Linked DNA regions of Drosophila melanogaster. The protein of the gene in region 2 interacts with the protein of the main gene of each other region in a pairwise test. Each region holds a gene or a part of one and is shown on either strand. Other genes may lie near its edges.

The links.
Region 1: the proteins of Creld (region 2) and CanB interact in a two-hybrid assay, tested with the Drosophila melanogaster proteins (one large-scale study listed by BioGRID).
Region 3: the proteins of Creld (region 2) and gem interact in a two-hybrid assay, tested with the Drosophila melanogaster proteins (one large-scale study listed by BioGRID).
Region 4: the proteins of Creld (region 2) and Zaf1 interact in a two-hybrid assay, tested with the Drosophila melanogaster proteins (one large-scale study listed by BioGRID).

Annotation. Positions count from the first base shown.
Region 1 is NC_004354.4:5,330,614-5,335,580, reverse strand, and holds CanB (calcineurin B), read right to left. Parts: upstream 3,083-4,967; 5' UTR 3,063-3,082; intron 2,840-3,062; exon of another isoform or gene 2,754-2,839; intron 2,529-2,753; 5' UTR 2,481-2,528; intron 2,212-2,480; 5' UTR 2,177-2,211; coding exon 1,664-2,176; 3' UTR 1,132-1,663; downstream 1-1,131. Other genes in the region: XRCC1, read right to left, coding at 3,394-3,512, 3,571-3,899, 3,962-4,050, 4,111-4,967. UniProt on the Drosophila melanogaster protein: Calcineurin is a calcium-binding and calmodulin-binding protein found in all cells from yeast to mammals, and a calcium-dependent, calmodulin-stimulated protein phosphatase.
Region 2 is NT_033779.5:100,806-105,647, reverse strand, and holds Creld (cysteine rich with EGF like domains), read right to left. Parts: upstream 3,269-4,842; 5' UTR 3,190-3,268; coding exon 2,742-3,189; intron 2,643-2,741; coding exon 2,214-2,642; intron 2,133-2,213; coding exon 1,885-2,132; 3' UTR 1,771-1,884; coding exon of another isoform or gene 1,712-1,770; 3' UTR 1,506-1,711; downstream 1-1,505. Other genes in the region: Nhe1 (Na[+]/H[+] hydrogen exchanger 1), read left to right, coding at 1-136, 193-257, 312-643, 701-1,175; Zir (Zizimin-related), read right to left, coding at 3,730-3,772, 4,029-4,399, 4,454-4,632, 4,706-4,842.
Region 3 is NT_033778.4:10,121,819-10,127,561, forward strand, and holds the start of gem (gemini), read left to right. Parts: upstream 1-2,474; 5' UTR 2,475-4,621; coding exon of another isoform or gene 4,622-4,801; 5' UTR 4,802-5,387; coding exon 5,388-5,743. Other genes in the region: Ccs (copper chaperone for superoxide dismutase), read right to left, coding at 1-640, 692-706; CG46319 (uncharacterized protein), read left to right, coding at 4,622-4,801.
Region 4 is NT_033777.3:11,620,506-11,628,101, forward strand, and holds Zaf1 (ZAD and architectural function 1), read right to left. Parts: upstream 5,140-7,596; 5' UTR 5,121-5,139; coding exon of another isoform or gene 5,006-5,120; 5' UTR 4,970-5,005; exon of another isoform or gene 4,764-4,969; intron 4,682-4,763; exon of another isoform or gene 4,546-4,681; intron 4,444-4,545; exon of another isoform or gene 4,331-4,443; coding exon of another isoform or gene 4,213-4,330; 5' UTR 4,156-4,212; coding exon of another isoform or gene 4,045-4,155; 5' UTR 3,987-4,044; coding exon of another isoform or gene 3,852-3,986; 5' UTR 3,850-3,851; intron 3,798-3,849; 5' UTR 3,790-3,797; coding exon of another isoform or gene 3,281-3,789; 5' UTR 3,222-3,280; coding exon of another isoform or gene 3,096-3,221; 5' UTR 3,041-3,095; coding exon of another isoform or gene 2,906-3,040; 5' UTR 2,887-2,905; exon of another isoform or gene 2,834-2,886; intron 2,729-2,833; 5' UTR 2,533-2,728; coding exon 2,410-2,532; intron 2,352-2,409; coding exon 1,702-2,351; intron 1,645-1,701; coding exon 1,510-1,644; intron 1,440-1,509; coding exon 1,220-1,439; 3' UTR 1,134-1,219; coding exon of another isoform or gene 1,010-1,133; 3' UTR 961-1,009; downstream 1-960. Other genes in the region: CG14710 (uncharacterized protein), read left to right, coding at 1-640, 703-948, 1,010-1,133; CG14711 (uncharacterized protein), read left to right, coding at 2,906-3,040, 3,096-3,221, 3,281-3,789, 3,852-3,986, 4,045-4,155, 4,213-4,330; CG6813 (uncharacterized protein), read right to left, coding at 5,006-5,120, 5,193-5,438, 5,498-5,910, 5,971-6,081; CG18764 (uncharacterized protein), read left to right, coding at 6,489-6,605, 6,661-7,547.

The DNA.
Region 1 (4,967 bases), on a different chromosome or scaffold from region 2:
GCGGGGGGCAGGGCCCAGGCGAAAATGATTAACGAACCAGCTTGCGACAGACAGCATATAATAATTTATTGATACCACGCACACACACTCACGCATTCTCGCACACTGGCGCACACAAAGGACCCTCGCAGGACCTCCCTAGTTCACTAATACTGTGGCCCAATCGCCCAGCAGGTGACTCCGTGGTCAAGGCTCTGTTACCGTACAAGTTCTACGCGGACCCAACAGCTAGTTGGCTGGCTTCCTGTTGTCCACACTGCGAGAAATTCTTGTTGAGTTCGGTACCAAAAATGTGGGAAATATATAAAATAGTATTCTGCGGCAGCAGGGATGATCTTCTCCAACTGATTTGTATTGAACAACATGGCGTATACGTAACATTTTTTTAAGTGTTTTATATCAACATGGATTATCATCTCTTAATGCTTTGCGATATTTATGTTCTATTTTAAATCCACAGGAAGGCTCCGCATTCGCAAATTTGTACTGAACAACGTGGCGTATACGTAATATTTATGTTTCATTAGTAGATAGATGTTTTATATCAATGGATAAACTTTTCCCACTCATTTGTGACATTTCTGCTCTATACTAAGGTAATTTTAATCTCAACATGGATGAACTTCTTCCACTGCTTTGTTCTAAACAACGTGGCGTATACGTAACATGTATGTTGGTGTGTCTTGTCACATGAGGGACGTCACACACACACACACGTGTAGTTGGAAAATCGGTGACCTACAAAACATTTAATCGTTGCCAACGGCCAAAAAGTTTTCGGTTACTTTCGGCCGGTGGCTTCCTTCCCACATTTTGTGGTGACCATCTTCTACGGGGTCGGCTTTCGGGAATCCGGAATTTCGGGCGCCGAGCTGAACGACACGCACGTGTTCTTCGTCCAAGGACTCGCGGACCGTGGAACTCTGAGGGCATCTGAACCCGCCGGCCAAAGAACCCAGCCCACATTCGTCCACCTCCCATCAACAGATAGTGGTAGTACAACGAAAAATCACCAAGTAAACGCTTGTTGGGGGTTTTGAGTTTAGCTTTGCGATAAACAGTGTTTAATTGTAGTTGTTGTTGTAGTTTTCTTTTGTCAATTTTTTTTTTTTTTTTTTTTTTGATTTTTTTACATATCTTATACACAACATTTAGTCGAGAGATGAACTTAAGTGTTAGGCTTGAATTGAACGTAGAGTTTAGGATATAGTACAAACTAGTTTAAGATGATGCGAACAATCCCAATCGTAGAGCTGTTCGAACCTCGAAAGTATGTCATTTCGAATGGAAGGAGGAATGGAAGGAGGGGTATAGATGAGTTCTTTGGTTGAGTGGTCCGTTGCCGGTGGTTTCAAGTATGAGTATAAGACACAATTCATTGCATTCTGTGGATGATAGAGATCGATCGGTTTGGATCGTTTGGAACAAAGTGTACTCTATATATATGCGATAGGTATCAATAAATTGAGTAAACTGCTTCGTTTTTGGCACGCCTCAAACGCCCTCACAGACTCACAGACAGACCGTTTATTATAAAGCTGAACATGTTTCAAGGGAAGTGAAGGTACACACACACACACACACACTCATTACGGAAAATCGGCTATACATATTGTATCATATCTACAATTGTATATATATAGTACTCATTATGTGGCTCAATCTAAACATCGACAACCATTTTCTTGTGAATATCGGTATTGCCCACCACCGAGCAGAATTCATCGAACGATATCTTGCCATCCTCGTCCTTGTCCGCAAAGCAAATGGTCTTGTCCACGATCTGCTGCAGCTGTGTGTCCTTCAGATTGTTGCCCACCATCATCTTGAGCACCTGGAAGAGTTCCCCGTTCGAGATGTAGCCATCATTGTCCATATCATAGATGCGGAAGGCGAATCGCAGCTTGGACAGCTTATCGCCGCGCACGCTAAACTGCGACACTCCCTGGATAAACTCCTTGAAGTCCACCTCCCCGTTTCCATCCGCATCGAAGATATCGATAACCCGCTGCACCAGCGGATTCTGCTGCAATTCCGGCAGCGACATGAACTCATCTATGCTCAGCGCACCCGAGTTGTCCAGATCCAGCTTGCGGAATCGCTTGCCCAGCCTACGGATCTCGTCCGCATCGAAGTTGGAACACATGTCCATGGGCAGGGAGGTCTCGTTACCCATGCTGGCCTTTGGTTACTTAGTTCTCTGGTCTAGATCTGCGAATGGAACGCAAGCGTTAGAAGGCAGGGCATTCTGCTCTACGGAGAAAAAGATGATTCCAAATGAATTTCGATAATAAAAAAAAATATATCATCAGAGAATTGAGGAACATTTGAGTTACCAATGAGAAAAATTAGAAGGATATTCGGTATGTGCAAAAACTGATGCATACTCCCAGGCTGCCCAATGTTCCACTTCTCACTGAATAGCTTCGAAATCATTTGGATTGCACTTTTTCTCAGCGTTTTCAGCACGACTTTCTTACCCAAAATTTTTGTTGTTAATAACTCAATTTTTCAACGACTGGCACGCTCTAAAAAAAAAAAGGGGGGGTGAAGTGCAAGTTAGCAGCATACTTTTAATTATGGCTCAATCGTATCGATTTTTCCAAATTCCACAACTTTTCACCACTCGTTTTCGCTTCAGCAAGGTTGGAGTGGAATCTCTGCAGTGGCACAAATCCGGATGGAACTGCGTTGGCCAGGATGCTTGGGTGAATCGCATTGCGAAAACGCAAGTGGTAGCCATAGATATTTACCATAAATAAACAATAGTTGCGCTGGATTGTTAAATTCCCAAAAAAAAAGCTCTCTACTCGCTCGACAGCAAATACACGACTGCAGGCGAGTGAGAGAGTTTTCACCGTTAGCTCTCGCCAACGAGTGGGAGAGCGCGGAGAGCGCAGCTGTCAAAAGCGGACAGCTGTTGCTTTTCCACCTGTTTTTTTTTTTGTTCTTTTCGGGGGCTGCAAATTGGTTTTCCACTTGTGCACTTTCGCTATCTTTTTAGTCTTTTTAATGCATAGTTTTGGGCGTAAACGGGTTTTCTTCGCTTAACCATAGCATGCCTATGGGTGGAAAGTCCTTGTAGTACCGTGCTATGCGTTAGTACATTTTTTGTGAATTTCTGCTAGAGATGGACCATCGCATTAGCCCAGAGGTGGTTTATTTGATAGTTTTTTTTAAATGAACATGCGATAGATCTATTATAATATCAATATTTATTCCTTGGGCTCTTTTTTCAAAATGGTCCAAACTAATCACTTATTTTGAATTTGTCGAATTTTTGATAACGAGCATATTCGATTAACAAAGTACAAAAATATGATACTTGCACATTACAAGCAATTTAAGTAATAAAGTCGTATACAAAATATGAGATGAGGTTAGAAATGGCACCTAATCGATTTGTTTCTTCTTTAGCTCCAGATAATCCTCTTCATCGGTACTAACTTCGTATATATCTTGCGATTTCGTCTTTACTGTAGTCCTTAGTTTGGCTTTCTTCGTTTTGTTTTCTAAAAGCAAACAATAAAATATCTAAAAAAAAACAGGGCAGAACAACAGAGAGTTTACCCTCAGCCACGCGCTGCAGTTCATCTTCCGTATCAATGCCCGATAAGGCATCTGGATTCATTTCCACATCATTCTGATCCGCTAGAGCTGTTAGCTTGCTATCCTCTAGCATTGCCACATCATCCTTGCTGGAATCGCGCCGTGGCCTCGTCGCCTCATCGCAAAGCTCCTCATCGCTCTCCGGCTGGCCAATGTCATTGGTATCCAGGGCGTAACGTCGCCATGGCAGGTACTTCTTCAGCTCATAACATTTCTCGATCCAACTGCGTGTCACAATCTTGCCCTTGCCCTTCACTTGATTGTATTTCGGTGTGTTTTTGAATGCGCATCTGTTTGGGTTTCATTTTAAGAATTAGCGGGCGCATACTAGATCAATCTGGACTTCACTTACATCAGATGGGTACATCCTGATCCCCAATCAGCCTTATACTTGGCTCCCAAGGCGACCGCTTTCGAACGCAAGTCTGCACGATCGGGATTCTGAAAGCAGAAGGGATGGGTTTAAATCGAGTTGTGATGCAATCAAAAGAATTTCCTTGCCTGTATGCCACTGATGACCAGGACCACACCCTTGAGTAACTGATTAAGGGGACGGTATTGAATCGCTGTGTCCACGATCTTTTGCTTTTTGGCGGGCGTTACTGCGACTGCGGTGGGAGATGAATGTCGCTTTTGCGCAGTTGGGCGCGAACTTTCCTTGGAATTCGAGGTGTCCGAAGATCTGTGATCATGCTTAGATTTCTCCTTCCTCCTGGACTTCTCCTCCTTCGAATGCGATCTTTCCTCTTTTCGTAATTGCTCTTTCTCTTCTTTGGCTGTGGATTTTTCTCTGGAGGACGAATTGTGCTCCTTTGCCGGTGGTTTGTCTTCTTTGCTGATTGACTTATCCAAGGAGTGCCTGCTTGACTTTTTCTTTCTGCTCTCCCTCTCCTTTTCCTGCTCCAATCGCCGTCGATCCTTGTCCGCCTCCAGATGCTTGCTCAGCCGTTGTTTCTTTGCATTGACCTCAGCGTCCTTCACGTCCTCATCATCGTCGCCGAACAAGAGTGAAGCTCGATTGCGATCCAGGGGCTTGGCATCCAATGGCGTCGGAGAAACCGATCGCAGAGCATTGAGAACTGGTGATGGCGACGTCGAGGTTTTGGGCGATGCAGCCAGGCTAGAAACCTTGCCAGCGCTCAGCCTTCGCAGGGCCGTGGAGCCGGCGTCCCGAATGGCCGCTGCTGTGGAGGTCGCACTGATCGCGGGCGACTTGTGCTGCGTCTGCTTCTTCCAGCTGTGAAATCTGTTCACTTGATTGTCCGTTTCCGAGTCCGGCGACTCCTCGCGCAGCTTAAAGGTCCCGAATTGCATAACACCCTGCGGCACTAGGGATTTGACCTTAGGCGCCGCAGCAG
Region 2 (4,842 bases):
GGAGTCATATTTGCACTAATTTCGGCTCTTCTTCTGAAGCACATCGATTTACGAAAGCATCCATCCCTCGAGTTCGCGATGATGCTAATGTTTACTTACGCACCTTACGTCTTGGCAGAGGGAATACACTTAAGCGGTATATCAATGTTGTTGACTATGACTCTAAAAGCTAAACATTTTTTTCAACTATAGGTATTATGGCTATACTATTTTGCGGAATCGTCATGTCCCACTACACGCATTTCAACCTATCCACTGTAAGTCATATGATATCCCTATTTTATATATTATTAAAACTTTTTTAATCGTAGGTTACCCAAATTACCATGCAGCAGACGATGAGGACACTAGCTTTCATTGCTGAGACCTGCGTGTTTGCTTATCTGGGATTAGCAATCTTTTCTTTTAAACACCAAGTTGAACTATCTTTTGTTATATGGGCCATTGTGCTTTGCTTAATTGGCCGCGCCTGCAATATTTTTCCGCTCGCGTTCTTGGTCAACAAATTTCGCGAGCATAAGATCAATAACAAGATGCAGTTCATTATGTGGTTTTCTGGCCTACGCGGAGCGATTTCCTACGCGCTATCTTTGCACTTGAATCTTGACAGCCAGGAGAAACGACACGTCATCATAACAACAACGTAAGCATATTCCGGATTGTAAAATAATGCTCAGTCATTGAAGAATTAAAATTTCAGATTAATCATTGTGCTATTTACCACGCTAGTGCTGGGGGGCTCCACAATGCCTCTGCTAAAGTACCTTAAGCCAGGAAAAAAACGGCGGGCACGCGGCTCTGGAAGGAATGCCGCTGAGGAGGGAGGTCGACGCAACGGCAGCGGTAGGAAGCGTTCAAAATCTATTTCCCTATCGAAAACTCGCGAATGGGGCCAGGCAATCGACTCTGAACACTTGTCTGAACTCACCGAGGAAGAGGACGTCACCTTTACTCAAGCGCGCGATCGTTTTGGGCGCATGGATCGCAAGTACTTTATTCCGTTTTTTACACGTCGGTTCAATAGTCAGGAATTGCACGAGTGCAAGTCACAGATGGCCGACCTGACTAACAAGTGGTACCAAGCCATTCGAGTGAGTCCATTGGATTCAGATGAATCGGACGAAGAGATAGGACTAGCGGCCAGCACAAGTCAAATTCATTTGACACGGTCGTAGGGATTAAATGGCTGTTGTGGGGGGAGCTCTGTATCCGTTTCGGACTGTGTTGGATAACTTTAGAAGCCAAAGGGAACGATCGTATGTAATGCTTAAGTTCCTCTAGTTAATATTTTTAGAGTTTTTATTTATATAGCGCGGTGATGGTTGTTATCTTGTGTATATTTTTTGTTTACAAATTTTCATTTTGTAAGATCCAAATGCAATGATTCATTCGTATCACTGTAGCTCCTTTATTAATCCGCTTAAAGCAGTATTACATTGCACACGACAGATGGTCTTCAAAATGAAAATTTGGACGTCACAAAAGCACACTACGTCAGTAATTTTAGTTAAAAATATTTATTCATACGAATATATGCTGTATTTGTGATTTTATACATTTTTGAAACCAAATAAATATCTAAGTGTGGTACGTGTAAAAAAATATGGTCATGCCCTGCTTTTTGAAATTCTAATTTATAATTACATATCAATTGATAATATTACCTATTAAAGTAAAATTGGCTACAAAAGGTGTGCGTTTTTGGTTACTTTTACAATTCTTCGTGCGTGGACTCTTCACCGAGCACCGTGGAGTTTGAATCACTGCGGACTGCAAACGAAGTACAAAAATCGTTAGATGTCTTGGGGGAATGTTAAAAGATTATGCTTTTCAAAACGCTCGTGTATATCATAAAAGGAAAGCAATGTTGACATGTCTTTTGACTTATAAAGACTTCATTATTAGTTCCTCCAACTGTTTTGTATCTATTTCGGGTTGGTGGCCGCCTCCTGCCTCCGAGTTGATCCAGTACTCGGAAACAGCAATGTACCCTGCCACTGCCGCCCCAACAATGCAACCCCAGGCAATATGAGTAGAGCTCTGGAAGATGACACAGGTGGCCACGCACATTCCGAAGTAGGTGAGCATTCGCGTAAAGCTTACGTAGTTGCTGCGTTGCTCCGCAGAAATATCTTAAATGATCGGAGGCGCAATACATACAGTGGACAATGCGTTGCTTAAAAGCAAATTTATTAAATTTCTGTCTTACTTACCATGACACTTTCCTTCCTTCAACTCATAGCCATCCGCACACTTCCTGCACATGTCAGGGCCATCACCATCGCATCCATCGCAAGATCGATCACACTCCAGGCAACTAAAGGAGCCCTCATTGTTCACGCAGAACTGCTGTGGTCGGCAAGGGTTTGGACGCTGTTGCTCCAAGCACTCATTAATGTCGACACATCCTGCCTCCGAGTCCATGCTCCAGCCCTTCTTACACTTGCGGCAGCTCTTGGGACCACCTCCCGTGCAGCCTCCTTCCCCACAGGCCGCATGGCACTGTGTACACAGCAATTTCTTTTCGTCACGGAATGATTCGTAGTGCTCCGGTCCACATTCGTTGCAGTTTGGACCCGCATAGCCGGGATCACATTTGCACTTTCCGTTACCCTTTCTAGTTCCGTCTCCTTTGCATTTTCCTGAAATTTGTCATGTGGGTAAAATTAACGAAGACGGCAATCTTAAGTTGACACACTTATGTAAGTTGTGGCCTGTAATACTTGGTTATCATTACTTACCATTTCCATTGCACTCGGTGCAGGTCAGGCAGTCTGGTCCGTAGGTGTTCAGCGGACAGCAGACTGTTAGCTGATCGATGCAAAGCCATGACTGCAGGTCGGGACTCTCTGTTTGTTTGTGGATAAACCAGTCCTCGAGAAGCGCCTCGTGCTCGTTAGCCAGGTTGTGGCAGTGATCCTTGTTTATCACTTCTCCTTCCGAACATAGCTTCTCCTGGATCTCCACTAGCCGTACCTCGCTGTTCTTGTACGAACGCAACTTTTCCTCCTCCCATGCCGTGTCCCCGCCCGCGTGTCCGCGTTTTGTCCTTTCGAGTCCTGCCCTGAAAGAGCTAACAAGCTGGGTACATGCCCTGCAGGGCGGCGGAACAGGCTTTTCGGGAGAATATGACGCCGAAGCAGCGGCTATGAATACTAGCGTTGCGAGCCAACAATACTTGATTCTCATTTTTATTTATTTATTGTCTTTTTAACCGGCAAACTATCTGAGTTTACGTGTAATTAAAGCCGACACTATCGATAAATAAAAACATCGATAGTATACTCGAAAGTTTCGCGAATACCGATAGGTCGCGTTCGATACCATTGCCTCACGGAGCTCACTCTTAGTCAATCTAACAACCGTTAACGACCCATGCGAAATTCGAGGATTATCATTTTCGAATACTTCCCTTTTCTGGTAATCGACAATTAAATTTTGTTGCTGTAGGATACGATTTGTTTCACTCACTTTAACTGCACCTCCTTGTAGCTTGAAACATGTTGCTTTAACTATTTTCGTAAAAGTAAAAAAGTGTAAACTTTATTTTTTTCGCTTTTTAATATTTTGCTTAATCTATTAGATGCATAAAAAAGTTATGCTATTACATTAGCAATTATAGAGATCGATAATTTAAAATGTAAGATTTACTTAAAATAATCCGATACGCTAGACATGAAAGACCAAAAGTATGATAATTTGATTGCAGACTAAGTCGTGTGCAAGAAGTTACCATTTCAAAGGAGTACTTTTGTTGTTGTACGCGTTGGCCCTATTGGATGTATTTAGAAAAGAAATAAAAAATTATATAAGTTAATGTTTACTTTTTGCACTGGTGGTTTTTAATATAGTCATATAGTAAAGTAATATCTATATTAGGCTGGATTCTATAAATATCTAATTAAGCATCTTATGTCTATTATTTAGAGCACTCCGTTGAGGAACAAAATAAGAAAGACATGAGAATTTTAATACATATGTATACACAATGTAACTTTCCTTTTCACTGTATAACAATAAAAACTTACTTGACAACGCCATGATTCTGAACTGATGTAAGAGTAATAAAGGGAGTCAATCGTTCAATGAACCGATCGTTGTTACGTTCCAGTTCTCGTTGGTAATCTTTTTGATCTGAAAGTATTAGATTGCGATTCTTTTTCAAAGCATCAGCACAACGCTTTGAAAACTCGCGAAAGCACAACCGAAGTTTGTTTTGGTGTTTTGTCGGTACAGTTGTTCCGTCGGATAAATTGGAAAGGAACACACTCGCCATTTCCATCGGTCCTTGGTTAACAGTGGTTCCAATACATCCCTGCAGTACCATTTGCAATATTTTGGGGTCTGCTGGCTCTTGATTCGTGGCAGCTGCCAATTCCAATGTTTTTTTTTGAATATCCTAGGCAATAACGTTTAATTTTATTAACTTTTGGGATTTTACAACATAACTTACTTCAATTGCCACTTCAATCGGTTCCAGGACTATTTGCTGTCGGCTAATTACCATAATGCGAGTTTTTACGTATGGAAAGTGATTCGCCGTGGTCAAAATCGTTTTCCGTTTACACTGCTCATTTAGTTCGCCATGTGCCTTTCCATTTTTAGTAAAAGGCGTGGCATATATAAAACGTTCTGCATAAACCAAAAATGTTAAAATTATAATTTTAAATTTCGATTTAAATTATCTGTTTAATTCATATCATACTTATATTGAAATTCCGCTCAAAGTATGTCTCACGATGACGCATTTCATATGTTTCAAAGTAGGGTTCAACATAAGTAATTTGAATGTAAGCCTTATCGGGATCCAAGCTATTAATATCAACGGTATTGGAATCTTTA
Region 3 (5,743 bases), on a different chromosome or scaffold from region 2:
CCCCAGAGTTGCCGTCAATCAGGCTCTGATCATTGCCCCCGCGTCCCAGGTCATCGGCATTGGCTGTTAGGACGACAGCCCTTCCGATTATGTCCCAGACCTCTAGCACTGGATCCACAAATCTAAAGGTGGCCCTGCCGTTTTCATCCGCTCGGATGTTGCCAAGATCTCCGGCGTGCCGCTCCTCTGCCCCAGCTGCAGGGCTTCCATGTGGCGACTGGCGGGGATTGTAGTGTTCTCCGACCGACGAGCAACCTGCGGAAGTGTCACCACTCTCGTGAATATGTAATCCGTGCAGTCCAGGCGATAGACCGTCCACAACGCCATCCACAACCACTCCAGGCTTCTTGTCTGCGGTAATGGTGGTAAACCGAACCACTCCCTGGATTGGTGTCTTGTCCACTACACTTCCTGTTGTGTTTATAAGGGCCACCGCCGACTGGCCGCCGAATCCGGAGAGTACGGCCCGGACACCTGTGGCTTCTATCTTGTCCTGAATCTCTGACCAAGGTCGTTGGGTTTGGATTATCACTCGACCTTCCTGGGTGTCAATTTCCACCTGGCCGACCCCATCCAGCGCCGAACGGAGGGCACCGGCATAGGATTCGTCACCTCTTCGCATCTGCACTGCAAATTCGATCTGCACATTAACATGGAAGCAAGTTTCCTGACCCGAATAACATATACTTACCTTAATGGAGCTCATTTTTATGGTCAAAGTGCCGACTAACAATGATAAACAAACTTTGGTATCGATGGCCGTCGATAGGTTCAGACAAATCGCGCCTTCTGTCATCGAAGAACGATAGGTTCACACGGAACGAAAGTTTAAGGCGTTTGTAAACCACTTATCCAATAAATTATAACGTTGAACTGATATTACTAGTTACGTATTAGAACACAGATGTAATATTTTTATCGTAGAACGTTTTACATTTACAAAACCAAAGTTACTAGCTTCGGTTTTGAACTTTTGCATAAATTGCGTGCTTTTTGATGAAGAAAATGAATTCTGGTATTTCTATTTAAGTCACTCCATATTTCCAAAATGACTATATTAATAATATTTGTGATGTTTGAAATTTATATAGATTACAACTATATTTTAAGTGAATAGATTAAAGCTTAATTTAATAGGGCTAAGTACCTTGGATATAATCATTGGTTTTCTGTTTAGTTTGACCAACAATTTTATAATCTTAAGCTGACTTTGTCCAACTCTTCTGGACCGATTCAAAACGCTAACCCCGAACTAGCTTAGATGCTAACTTATTTAATTTCCGTGCTAATTTTCAGACCTGTAGCTCCATTCACTTCATATTACGTTTTATAATTTTGGCTTAACTTTTCTTTATGGCCGCCGACAGTTTTAATCAATGGCCATAAAGAGTATTTTTAAGCCAAATGATGCTAATTTTTTGGAATTGATAGCGCTAATTTTTGTCTACAAAAACCGCAAGCGACAGATGCTGGCTTATTGAGGCCCAAAAAAAAAACGTGCAACCAATATGAATGAAGCTTTTCCATGCGCGCCACTTTATTGCAGCCAATTGCGCCTTGACTTTCATTGTGCAAAATAAATTAATTTCACTTGGACCCCGTTATTGATAGCAATTTAAAAACAATTGAGAAATATTTAATATTGCCTTCAATTGAAGAACTGTAAAAGGAAGCACTACAACAAAGAATTATGATAAAACCGTTCAATTCCCAAAAATTTGGCGAGTCGGCACATGGCTTTGTCAATTAAGGCCTTTCTTAGCACGTCGATCTAGGGATAGAGATGAATGATATCGGTGGATAACAATTAGTCGCTATTAGAGTACCGTTACTAGACCTTAAGTTCAACACTAGGAATGTAAGAAATTTAGTTTCTTTCCCAATGGTTATGTGGCTATTCACATTAGTAATATTATTTAATGTTTGTATTAACTTATATATAAGTTGAGTTAGTTCCGCAGATCCGTAATAATTTTTACAAGTCTGAGATGGTCCACCCTAACGACAGATCGACGCCATACGCCCTGAGCCACTCTGAAGAGAAGAACGCCCACACAAAAAGGCAATGTTCTCTTTGGGGCAGCGACTAATGGCAACAGCTGTTCTTGTTGATAAATAGCATAAAGATTTTTGTCGCCTTGTTTTGTGAGAGAGCAACAAATGCAAGTCAGCCTCTGAAACAATCACCTGGAAGGATACGTGTGTCGGGAATGTAGATAGATAAGTTGGTCTGGATAGTGCGTGCCACGGAAAATTAGCCTTGCCTTTGTTTCACTTGCATTCCACAAAGACGCACGCACACACACACGTGCACAGAATGACCCTTACAGTGGGGCTTTGGTATTGGTATTTGTATTTGCGGGTCGAACGCCACGCTCTTTTGGAGCGAGAGTGAGAGAGCGAAGAGAGAGAGAAACATAACGGGCTAGTGTATTTATTTTAATATTAGCTTTGTGACGTTCGCTCACCAAATCAGTATTTTTCGTACCATCGGCGTTAAAACACATGTTCAGCGATTTAGTGCGGGAGTGTAAACTAATCTGAGTAACAACAACAGCATCGTCGGCAAAGCAACAACAACGGCAGCAGAAAATTTTAACACGTTGACGCTTTTTCTAGTGTTTATAGCGAGCGGAAAAGCTTACTAAGCGCGTAACAAGCGAGACCCCGAAATCTTTTTTCATCTCGGTCTTTTCGCCTTTGCGTCTTTGAGTGTGCGTGCCAAAATTCAAATACGTCATCGACGCGCGCAGCCTTAAATCGAAAAGGAATGAAATAATTGATATACACAAATGCCAGCGAAAGATTGAATTCAATTGCAGGAGCAACAAATAGCCAAACAAATTGAGGAAAACAATTCCTCCAACCGCACAGCGACAACTTCAATTAATTAACTTGTTATTGTGTAGTAGCAGTCCGCTTCTTGCCATTCACCGCGAAACGCAGCCACACAAAAGAACGTGCAAAACAGCTGGGACTCGAACTGAGAGTAACGGAACGTCGAGCAACAAGTGCAGCAGCAGCAGCAGTAGCAGCGAAAACAGCAGCAACATCAGCATCATCAACAACAATACAAAGCCCTTTCAATTGCTGGAGAGAGGGGTGGTCCATGTGTCTATGTGCACTCCAATGAATACGAAGACAACGGCCACTTTTGTTGTTGCCACAATCAATTAGAGTGATAGCAGGCGGCAGAGGAAAAGCAGCGCGGCAGCAGCATCCGCATCAATTTGCTGTCAGCATCTGAATCTTCGGGTCGGCATTATTCCGAAAAGTGTGAATGTGAGCGTAGTTGCTCCCGTTCCGCCTCCGTAATCGCAAGTGCTTGTTGTTATTGTCGCACTCGTCTGCGATCCGCGAACCGCGATCTTTGCTTGTGTTTGTAACGGCGACGTCGTCTTGATTGGAACGCTCTGTATTTCTTGACTTTTTTCGTGCTTTTTTGATTCCGAAACTGGTGTATCTGTAGTTTCCCGCTAACGGCGAAAATTCACACAACTCATTGATATTTTAACCTCGTGTCCGCGTTGGCTGCCGCTCGACCAAGGTTCTGCCGCACAAAATGCTCGTCTCTTTGGGCTTTTCGAAGCCTCGCTTCGTCGGATTAAAAGTGCTCCTCTAGCACGCTCGCAAGTTAGTCCGGCCACAAAAATAAGAAAACCCAAAACTTTAAAATATAACCATAACCCATTGAATTGGCAGAAAAAGTTTTCACCACCCACCGAATCGTACCGTTATCGTTATCGCGAAACAGAATCCACAGATAAAAAACGTTCCGTTTCACTTCGTCGTAAATACAGTGCTAAATCGTGTGAAACAAACTAAAGTCGCTGCAAAAACAGCCTAATTTGTCTAATGAAAGCCGAGAGCATTTGTGAATAATTAGCCCCGAAAAAAAACCTGTTCGCAGTCACCGCAAAAATTAGGCCCCAATAAAAAGTGACGATCCAAGAAACTGGCATCTCGCCCGCTTGATATATAACACCCCAACACAAACGTAAAGTTCGCGATAACACCTATACAAAATAAAAAAAAGAGAGAAACCAAATCCAGCGAATCAACTTCAGAGTAAAGTCGCAAAGTCAGTGCAAGCCAGAGCAAAATCGTCGAGCAAACCGAGTAGTTGTCCAAACGTTAAGTCGCAAAAAGTCTAGGAAACCACCCCTACAATCGCTATCAGATTTCTAGTGCTAATACGATCGAAATAATGTCAGCCTTCTGACAGTGTATAACAAATAAAGTTACATAATCACCGTTGCAAATCCAATTTTTTTTTGGAAGCGAACCCCCAAAAGTGCCCAATTGGAATGTCGAATATCTGACAGTGACCAAACAAACAGCGAAATCAGTCGAAACCAAACTCAAGAGAGAACCCCAACTGCAGAAGGAAAGCGAGCGAAGTTGTTATCAGTGAAAATATACACACATATATATTCGATTTCAGCGTAAACAACTACTATATAATGTCCGTCGCCATCTGACAGTGGTCCAAACAACCAGCACAAAGAGCTAGAAGTCGCCGCAGCCAGTGACAAGTTTCACCACAGCGAGTGAGACCTGTACCGTAGAACCAACACAAGACACTTAAGCTTGCAACACGGGCTAACCAATTCAGCGATAAATGGAGAAATCTGAAATACGACTGCAACGCATGTCTAATGAATATCAGTCGCAATCGAGCTATATGTACCTCCGGACCAAGATGCTGTTAAAAATCGAGAATACCCTACTTCGAAGCCATCGTCAGCGCGAGACCACCGGTATCAAGAAACTATACAATTCGTTTTTCGTATTGTTTTAATTTGCCCCCCCGGCCAGTCCCGAACCCTCTCAAAAGGCCCCAAGAACACAAAACGCACAAAAGCAAAATTTACAATTCCACTCAACTGTGAGCCAAGTTAGAAAAAGTTACAAGAAAGCAAGTTATACATGTTATACCTACGTTAAATAAATATATGAATAAACTAGAGATATTATTTGGTTGTTAGTAGAACTCACGTCAAGTGCATATGGTTAGCCCTCGTATATCCAAAGTGCTGTGCGACGAACGAACGATTAAGTAAATAAGTGTGTCATATGAGCATTTTGAACAAGCCAAGCCAAAATGTTAGCCTAAGCAAGTAATCAGTAAGTGTTGGTCGATCAATATACGGTTTCTACTTCGAATATTACTATTACCATCAATCACTTTTGTTGCATTTCGCATTGCACCAAAAAACTTGAGCAAAATTGCTGGCGAAATTACTCCGGTCGGAAGTGGTGTTTCGTAATACGGGTGAGAGCGATCACGGTCAAATAATTCAGGAGGATATCAAACAACAAACAACAATAAGCTTGGACTAATAGAGACCAGAACGCGATTCTAACGCCGTTAACTCACGTACCGAATGGCGCTTTCGTTTCTATCCCAAAACTCCGGTCTGTTGGATTTACAAAGCATATTCGATCCACAATATACTCATCATCAACAACAACAACAACAACTACTACATTTGAGCCACCACCCTCAACATCACATTCAACAACACCAAAATCAACAACTACAACAACAAGCGGAGCAAATTCAACAACATCAACAAGAACGCACCCTTTCAACAAAGTTCGATTTGAACCTGTTCAACGAACTCGACCAAATGGAATTCAACAATTTAAATCGCAGTCAATATCAGAATAATAATAATAACAACAGTATCAGCAATAATCAAAACTCCAACAACAATACCAACACCACTAACGGTATCAG
Region 4 (7,596 bases), on a different chromosome or scaffold from region 2:
ACTGGGAAACAAGTTCCTCGGAGAGACCAGAGGCTCTTGCCCAGGCAAGCGATGCCGAGTATATGTTGTATCTGTACGAGAACCTACATCTGAAACTAGGCACAGAGAATCAGGAGAAGGAAGAGATCACCGCAATAGAGGAGGGGGATGAACAGCAGGAGGATCAGTCCCAGGAAGTTCTCGATTTTAACGGATTTATCATAAACGAATCGATTGAGGAGGACGAAGAGCCTAATACGGAAAGTCCTGAGCAGATTCTGATTTCCCACATGGACTCCTACGTTGATGATCAACAAATGGAAGAACTCATTGATGATAAGGGTGAGCTTGTCGAGGAATTATCCAATGCAAACACGTTTTATGAGGTTGAGTACGGGGACGAGGAACTTCTCATGTCAAGCGCTCCTTCGCCACATCCCAGCTTCAAAATGGACAAACAAAAGCCGGGAAGGCCTCGCAAACCGGACGCCGAACTGAAATTCAAACGCAAGGATATCAACGCCAAGGAAAGGGGGAACCAGCCAAAGTGCAAGGAAGAGGAGAAGTTCATGTGCATCCTGTGCGGAAACGTCTTTTACAAGAAATCTGTTTTCACGGCCCACATGATGACCCATTCAGAGTACAAGCCCCACCAATGCGAGTAAGTGATATTAAGGTTTAGGAAGGAACAAATTTATCCTACAAAAATGTTATTGCTTTCAGAATATGCAATAAATCTTTTCGACAAATGGGCGAATTGCGAGCACACATCCGTCGTCATACGGGCGACCGTCCATACAAGTGTATGTACTGCGACCGCCACTTCTACGATCGCAGCGAACGGGTCCGCCATGAACGGGTCCACACCAACACGCGTCCTTATGCCTGCCAGGAGTGCGGGAAAACTTTTACGCACACAGCCATCCTCAAAAATCACATCCTTTCGCACTCCGCCCAAAAGAATTACAAGTAAGGGAGAGTAATCCTTTCTAGTGATTTGCACTTTTTATTAATAATTTGAACTTTTCAGCTGTGGTATCTGTTGCAAGTCATTCACTCTGCTGCACCAGCTGAAAGCTCACCTGCAAACGCTAACCCACCGCAACAAAATGGAGCAAACCATTCCCAGCTCTCCGGAAATGTTAGAGAGCTAATATAGTAAATTAATTGAGGAACTAGGGTTATCTATTATAAGTAGTATAAAGCCACTTTTCCAGAATAGACCAGCTATTTTTATTAACTATTCTACCACGTCGCTGTACTCCTTAGCTATCAGACGGTGCGCAAGAGACTTCTCGTGCGCTGTAAGTTGGTGCTTAAGCCGAAATTCTTTTTTACACATAAGACACTTGTGAGACTTTTCAGACGAATGCAGGTAGTAGTGAGCGTTACGAGAGGAGGACAGAGAGAATGTTTTTCCACATATGTTGCAAGCATAGGGTCTTTCATTCGTGTGCAAACTGAAATGAAGAAATTCAACATTGGAACTTAAATGCTGTACACAATATATATAGTTTTTGTCCATTCTACCGTTCGTGCTTGCGATGAGTGCTGTTGTCGGCAAAACGGCGCGAACAGTAGCAACATTGGTAAGGTTTCTCGCCCGTGTGCGTCCGCATGTGTGTTTTCAGGTTGCAGGCGGCTCTGAATGTCTTTTGGCAAACCCTGAATCATACATTTTATATATGAAATATTATGTTAAGATATATCACGGATACTTACTCGCACTGGTGGTCCTTTTCCTTGCGGTGCACCTGCGAGTGTGCATTTAGCTGAGATAAGCAGCGGTATGTATTGCTGCAGATCTTGCATCTGTACTTGTCCGGCTCGCAGGCCACTCCTAGATCTATCACGTAGTCGGCACTTGGCTCTAGATTATGGTAATCCTCGCTTGTCTCTTGAATACTGTCCGTAGCAGCGCTGCTTTCTTGCGAATACGTTTCGGAGTAATTTTGATCGGAGATCTCCCTGTCCAAATCCATATCACTGATGGTATAGTCCTCCTGGTGTATGTCTTTCTCGTTTTCCGCATTCACGTTGAGATCGAACACGAAATCGCTTGAAAATTTATTTATGGGTAAGATTTCATCATCTTTGGTCGTTTCCAATGCATTCTCTTGAGTCTTAAAGTTAATAGGATTCTCTTCGATGAGTCTCCCCGAAATGTTCTGCTTCCTGGCGCGTTTTTTCTGTTCAAGCTGGTCCTTATCCTCCAGCGTCTCAAATGCCGATGCGGAGGACAGAGTTTGACGAACGAGGCTTCTCAGGTGCGCGTCGGATTGTTTGCACGCGCTAAGAAATCTGTCCACCTCCTCCAGTTGCATCAAGCAGACTGTGCAAATTTGATCCGGCAGTCCATCATCCGGTTTCACCTAGGAGAGAGGATTTGTAACTGGTAAACTGGAAGCCAAACAGAAATCGAGTACTCACAGATGTGCCGGCATACGAGATCAACAGCTTGTGGGCATTGGACTCGAAGAGCGACTGCAGCGTGGATTGCGTTCCTTTTTTGCGGCAAGTGCGGCACATGCTCCATTTAATGCTGATTTCCATCGTTATTTCCGCAGGAAGTCCCTCTTTCGCGTCAAATGCCGATTCAAATGCCAGAGCAGTGAATTAAAAGTAAAAGGGTTGTCAGGTACGCGGAATTAGTAACAGTTTTCAACTATCATTCCAAATTTTTTTGCATTTAGTTCTAAAACTGTATTTTTATTGCGTGACTCAAGCTTAAATATTTAATAGGGCCCACCTGTTAGTTTAAAAAAAAAAATTAAGATTTAATTATTATCAATTATTCAATCGATATGCCGATAGCAAGTTCGATAGCCATTTATCGTTTTGCGTACATGACAACCCTGGGAAAAGTTCCAAGACGCTTGTTTATTTCAGAATTGCAAGCATACGTACGTCCAGGACGTGCAAGATAATGCCCGAGTACATGTTGTGCCGAATCTGCTTGACAGAGGACATCAACTCGGAGGCGATGGCGCCCCTGTTCGATGACAACGACGCCCAGTGCCGGGAGCTGGTGCGCAAGATTGAAGAAGTGGGCAGCATAAAGGTACATGTGGATGCAAATGTAAAATCCTGCGACTTAACCCACTCTGTGCTTTCAGCTGGTGCCGCTGCAGAACATCCCCAGTATGTTGTGCTACAGCTGCGTGGAGCGACTGACCAGTGCCCACAAGTTCCGGGAGCTTTGCCAGGAGAGCGAGCGCACATTTGCCACCAATGTAGTCAAGGTACGTATAGAGTTGATGGGCCACATATAAACATCCCACTTGACCCGGTACCATGTCAGGCCGAGATGAAGTCGGAGCCAACGGACGAGGTGCCGCACGTAGTGGCTGACAACATTGAGTACATCTACGAATCGGCCAACGACTTCATCGACGGTGTCGAGGATGACATCGGAATGGAGAACATCATGGAGGAGCCCCTGGAGGATGGTGTCGGGGAAACGTCGCAGGCCTACGAGACTAGCACTGTAGTGGACGACCTGGACGAGGATGACTTGCTGGTGCCGAATAGCACCGATAGCGACTACCAGCCCATCGAGCGCTGCCGCAAAGCTAAGGTGCGTAAAACGCGGATGACTAAACGTGGACGTGGCCGACCTCGCGGTGCTAGCTCCGGACACCCACGCAGTTTTAGCGAGGAGCGTCCGCCTGTTCAAGCTAGCTTCAAATCATCTCCCGAAGTATCCTCCACGAACATTATGTGCGAAATCTGCGGCAATATCTACTCCAAGCGAGCCGCTCTCAACATTCATATGCGTCGTCATATGGCCGAGAAACCATTTAAATGCGAGTGAGTATCTGAAATTATCATCTGAACCATTTTATATTATGTAAATCTTATTCCGCTTACAGAATATGCAGCAAATCCTTCGCGGGTCCATCCGAGCTAAATCGCCATATCCGCGTTCACACGGGCGAGAAACCATTCTTGTGTAAATATTGCAACCGCTCGTTTGCGGATCGCAGCTCCAATATTCGTCATGAAAGGTGAAGATGCAATTCCTCATAGTAATCTTCATATAAACTATACTTGTTCCTTTTGCAGAACACACACAAACGAGCGACCTTTCACTTGCTCCACATGCGGCAAGGCATTCTCCTACTCTAACGTGCTAAAAAACCATATGCTCACCCACACGGGCGAGAAGCCTTTTCTGTAGGTCCATTGACTGCTTTAATCATGTATAACCCTAAATTCCCTTTAATTTTTCAGCTGTCGAGTCTGCAATAAGACCTTTTCCCGCAAGCACCAGTTGGATCAGCATTTGGGCACCATGACCCACCAACAGACTGTAATACACCACAAAAACGAACGGACGGGGCGCTATTAGTCGAAAACAATGCAATACAATTTCTGTTAGATAATTCATTAATGTACATTTAATTATATATAAAAATTGTAAAATAAAAAAGAGTACAAATGGTCAGACCGGATGTGTAAAATAATCGGATTTGATTTATTACTATTTGGTTAAAGAACTTGTTCAAAAACACAAATATTTTTTGTAATGTTTTTTATTACGTCCATATATTCGAGAAAAAAATTGGAACACGATTACAATCTTTGATTTTGTGCGTTTATTTGGTAGTTTTAACATCATTTTGGCCATTAAATGAGTGTGCGTTTTTTATTGTTTCTTTTCTTTGTGCTCTGTCGAAGACTTTGTTACCGTTTGTGGAAGCTACAACATGGAATAATAATCGAATGGCACAGGATTAATTAAATCTTCTTTTTTTGGACAAGTAAATATGTTTTGTTTTTTTAGGTTTATAACTTGTAACGTTTTACATCAAAATCTAAAAACGTTTGGAAGTCGGGAGGGATGCGGCTCTTCTTCTATTCCTTAGGGAAACAAAAAGTAAAACCAAATATGCTAGATATTCGCATAAAATGGATTTATGCGAATACCTGTACTTAAATGTACGTCTACCTTGTTAAAGAAAAGGACGCGGAATTTTAGAATTCTTACCGATAGCTAATTAGTGTAATGGCTAGATAGGCAGCTTCATTGTTCAATGGCTAGCTCCGTGAGTTTCTCTTCTTTGCGTTTATGAATATTGCTGGACAGGTGGGTCATCAAATGGGAGATTCGTTTGAAGTGCTTCTGACATACGTAGCAGCTGTAAAATCAAAGTGTGTTGAAACGTGTAATACAAATAATGTGCAGAGTTGGCAGAAATCGAAATGCCCACTAGTGATTCCGCGCATCCACATGGATCATCTTGTGCTTCCTGAGACATCCGGAGCTTACAAAACTCTTTTTGCACGTGTCGCACTCGTAGCGGCGTTCGTTCCGATGGCGGCGATGGTGCTCCTGGCGAGCGCCTGAAGAGGAGAACCGACGTGGACAGTAGACGCACACGTATGGCTGCTCGCCCGTGTGGATACGCGTATGGCTAGTCAGTTCCTTTCGAGTTGCAAAGCTCCTTTCACAATTCCTGAGGAGAAAAATCGTATCTTAGGTGCACTAGCCCAAAGGAGGTTAAGGATAATTTACAAAAAAACACAGTGGAAATTCTTGATGCCTGTGTGCCGGAGCGTGTGCTCTTGAAAGTTTGACTTATTGTTAATGATCCTTCCGCAATCAGGGCATACATATGGACCAGTACCTCCTCCAATTGACTTTTGATGGTTCAAACTAGTCGGTGCTGAGACCTTTTCAGCACTTGGCATTGGAAGATCTTTGACTTCAGGACATAGAATGGACTCGTCCAACTCACTCTCAATTTGGTTATCATCGATGTCTTCGTATATTATTGGATCTGTGGAGCAATCCTTGCTGTCGCACTCAATCCTTTCCAGATTCTGTTTCTCGGCAATGATGCAGCGCTGGCGGAACTTAATGGCTGCCTGCAGATTGTCCAGGCAAGTCGTGCACATTTGGCCGGATATTTCTTTCTTGCAGCTTAGCTGGAAAGTATAAATAGCAAATTAAGTGCCATGATTAAGGAATATTTTTAGACATATTACCTCCACCCCAGTAATGGAGTGAATTTGACGAACTAGATGACCGTTTCCTGGACCAAAAAGGTCTATTGGGGCATCTGATCTAGAGCAAATGCGGCAATTCAGAATTCGCATCTCGACTTTGATTTGTTTTTGAATAATTGTTTACTGTTTACGTTTCGAGCAGCTTATGCGAAATGTGTCGTTAAGCTATTTGCATGGTCACTCTAACTTTTGCACGCATAAACGCTGTTTAGAGTTTTTGCACAGGGATTAGTACCTTATGAAGTAACATAAATACAAATATGTTTTATAATCTCATTTAATAAGAGTACCATAATGGTTTACTGCACTTTTTAAATCATTTAAGTCACACAATGGCATTGCCGCACTTATCGATTTTGTCGATAATAAAACCAGCTGTTGCATCACAATATATATACATACATATGTGTAGTGGATGCGTTTACAAAACAATTGGTTGTTTATATTCGAATTAAACTGAAGTTGGGCTAAACTTCGGTTGATTTTCAACTAACATTATGGCGCTCCAGTGCCGGACCTGCGGCAGCATCATCTACAATAAAATGCCCAAGAATCTCTTTCATATTGAGAACGAGAAGATGCTGCAAGACATAAATCTTGTCACTGGCACAACAGTATGTAAGAAAAATGGTTTCCATTTGATTTGTGCAGCATTTTCTGTGATTGCAGCTCCACAACGATCCAGAGCTGCCCAGCAGCATATGCGCCTGCTGCACGCTTGACTTGAACCAAGCGATTTTGTTCCGGGAGCGGTGCATCCTAACGCAGAAGCAGCTCGTCCATCGTCGTAGATCTCCCGAAGCGAAGGAACCGGCTGAAGATGTTGAGGAGATGGCATCACCGCCGGATTGTCTGAACGATCCATTCGGGGAAGTCGATGAATACATTGTGGAATCCCCAGAAGAAGTTTTGGATCATGATAGTGATGCTCATCATGATCTGGATGAGGATAATTATATTGATTCTGTTGAAGATGTTGATGCGCTTCAAGATATGGCTGAAGTAGCCGAAGAGGATTCTCAAGATGTCGAATCTCTGATCTCAAGTGTACAGAAAGAACTTGAGAGCATTTGCAACGACGACAGCAACTCGGATAACAACGATTACATGGAGCCCCAAAACGGTTCCTATTTCAATGAAACTATAAACGAATATGAAGTATCATCGAACCCAAACACACCGCTGCCCGAATCGAAGAGTGCAGCAGGTCGGTCAACGAAGCCAGCGACCACAAAACCCAAGCGGAAAAAACAGTACGTTACGTGGAAAAATATGACCGAGGAGCAGATCATAGAGCGTAAGCGACTGCAGCGTAAACGCGAGTGTGTTTGCGAACAGTGCGGCCGGCAATTCACCGACCAAAGCAATTTCAAGCTTCACATGCTGCGGCACACGGGCAATAAGAACTTCGCCTGCCAGCAGTGTGGCAAGCGGTTCTACACCGACCATCTCATGACGCTGCACCAACGAATCATTCACCAGGGCGAGAAGCCATACGACTGCCGCTTTTGCACCAAGTCCTTTCACAATAGCAACACTCGCCTCATCCACGAAAGGTAAGGGACGTATCCTTGTATCCACTACGGATTCGGACATTTCTGAGCT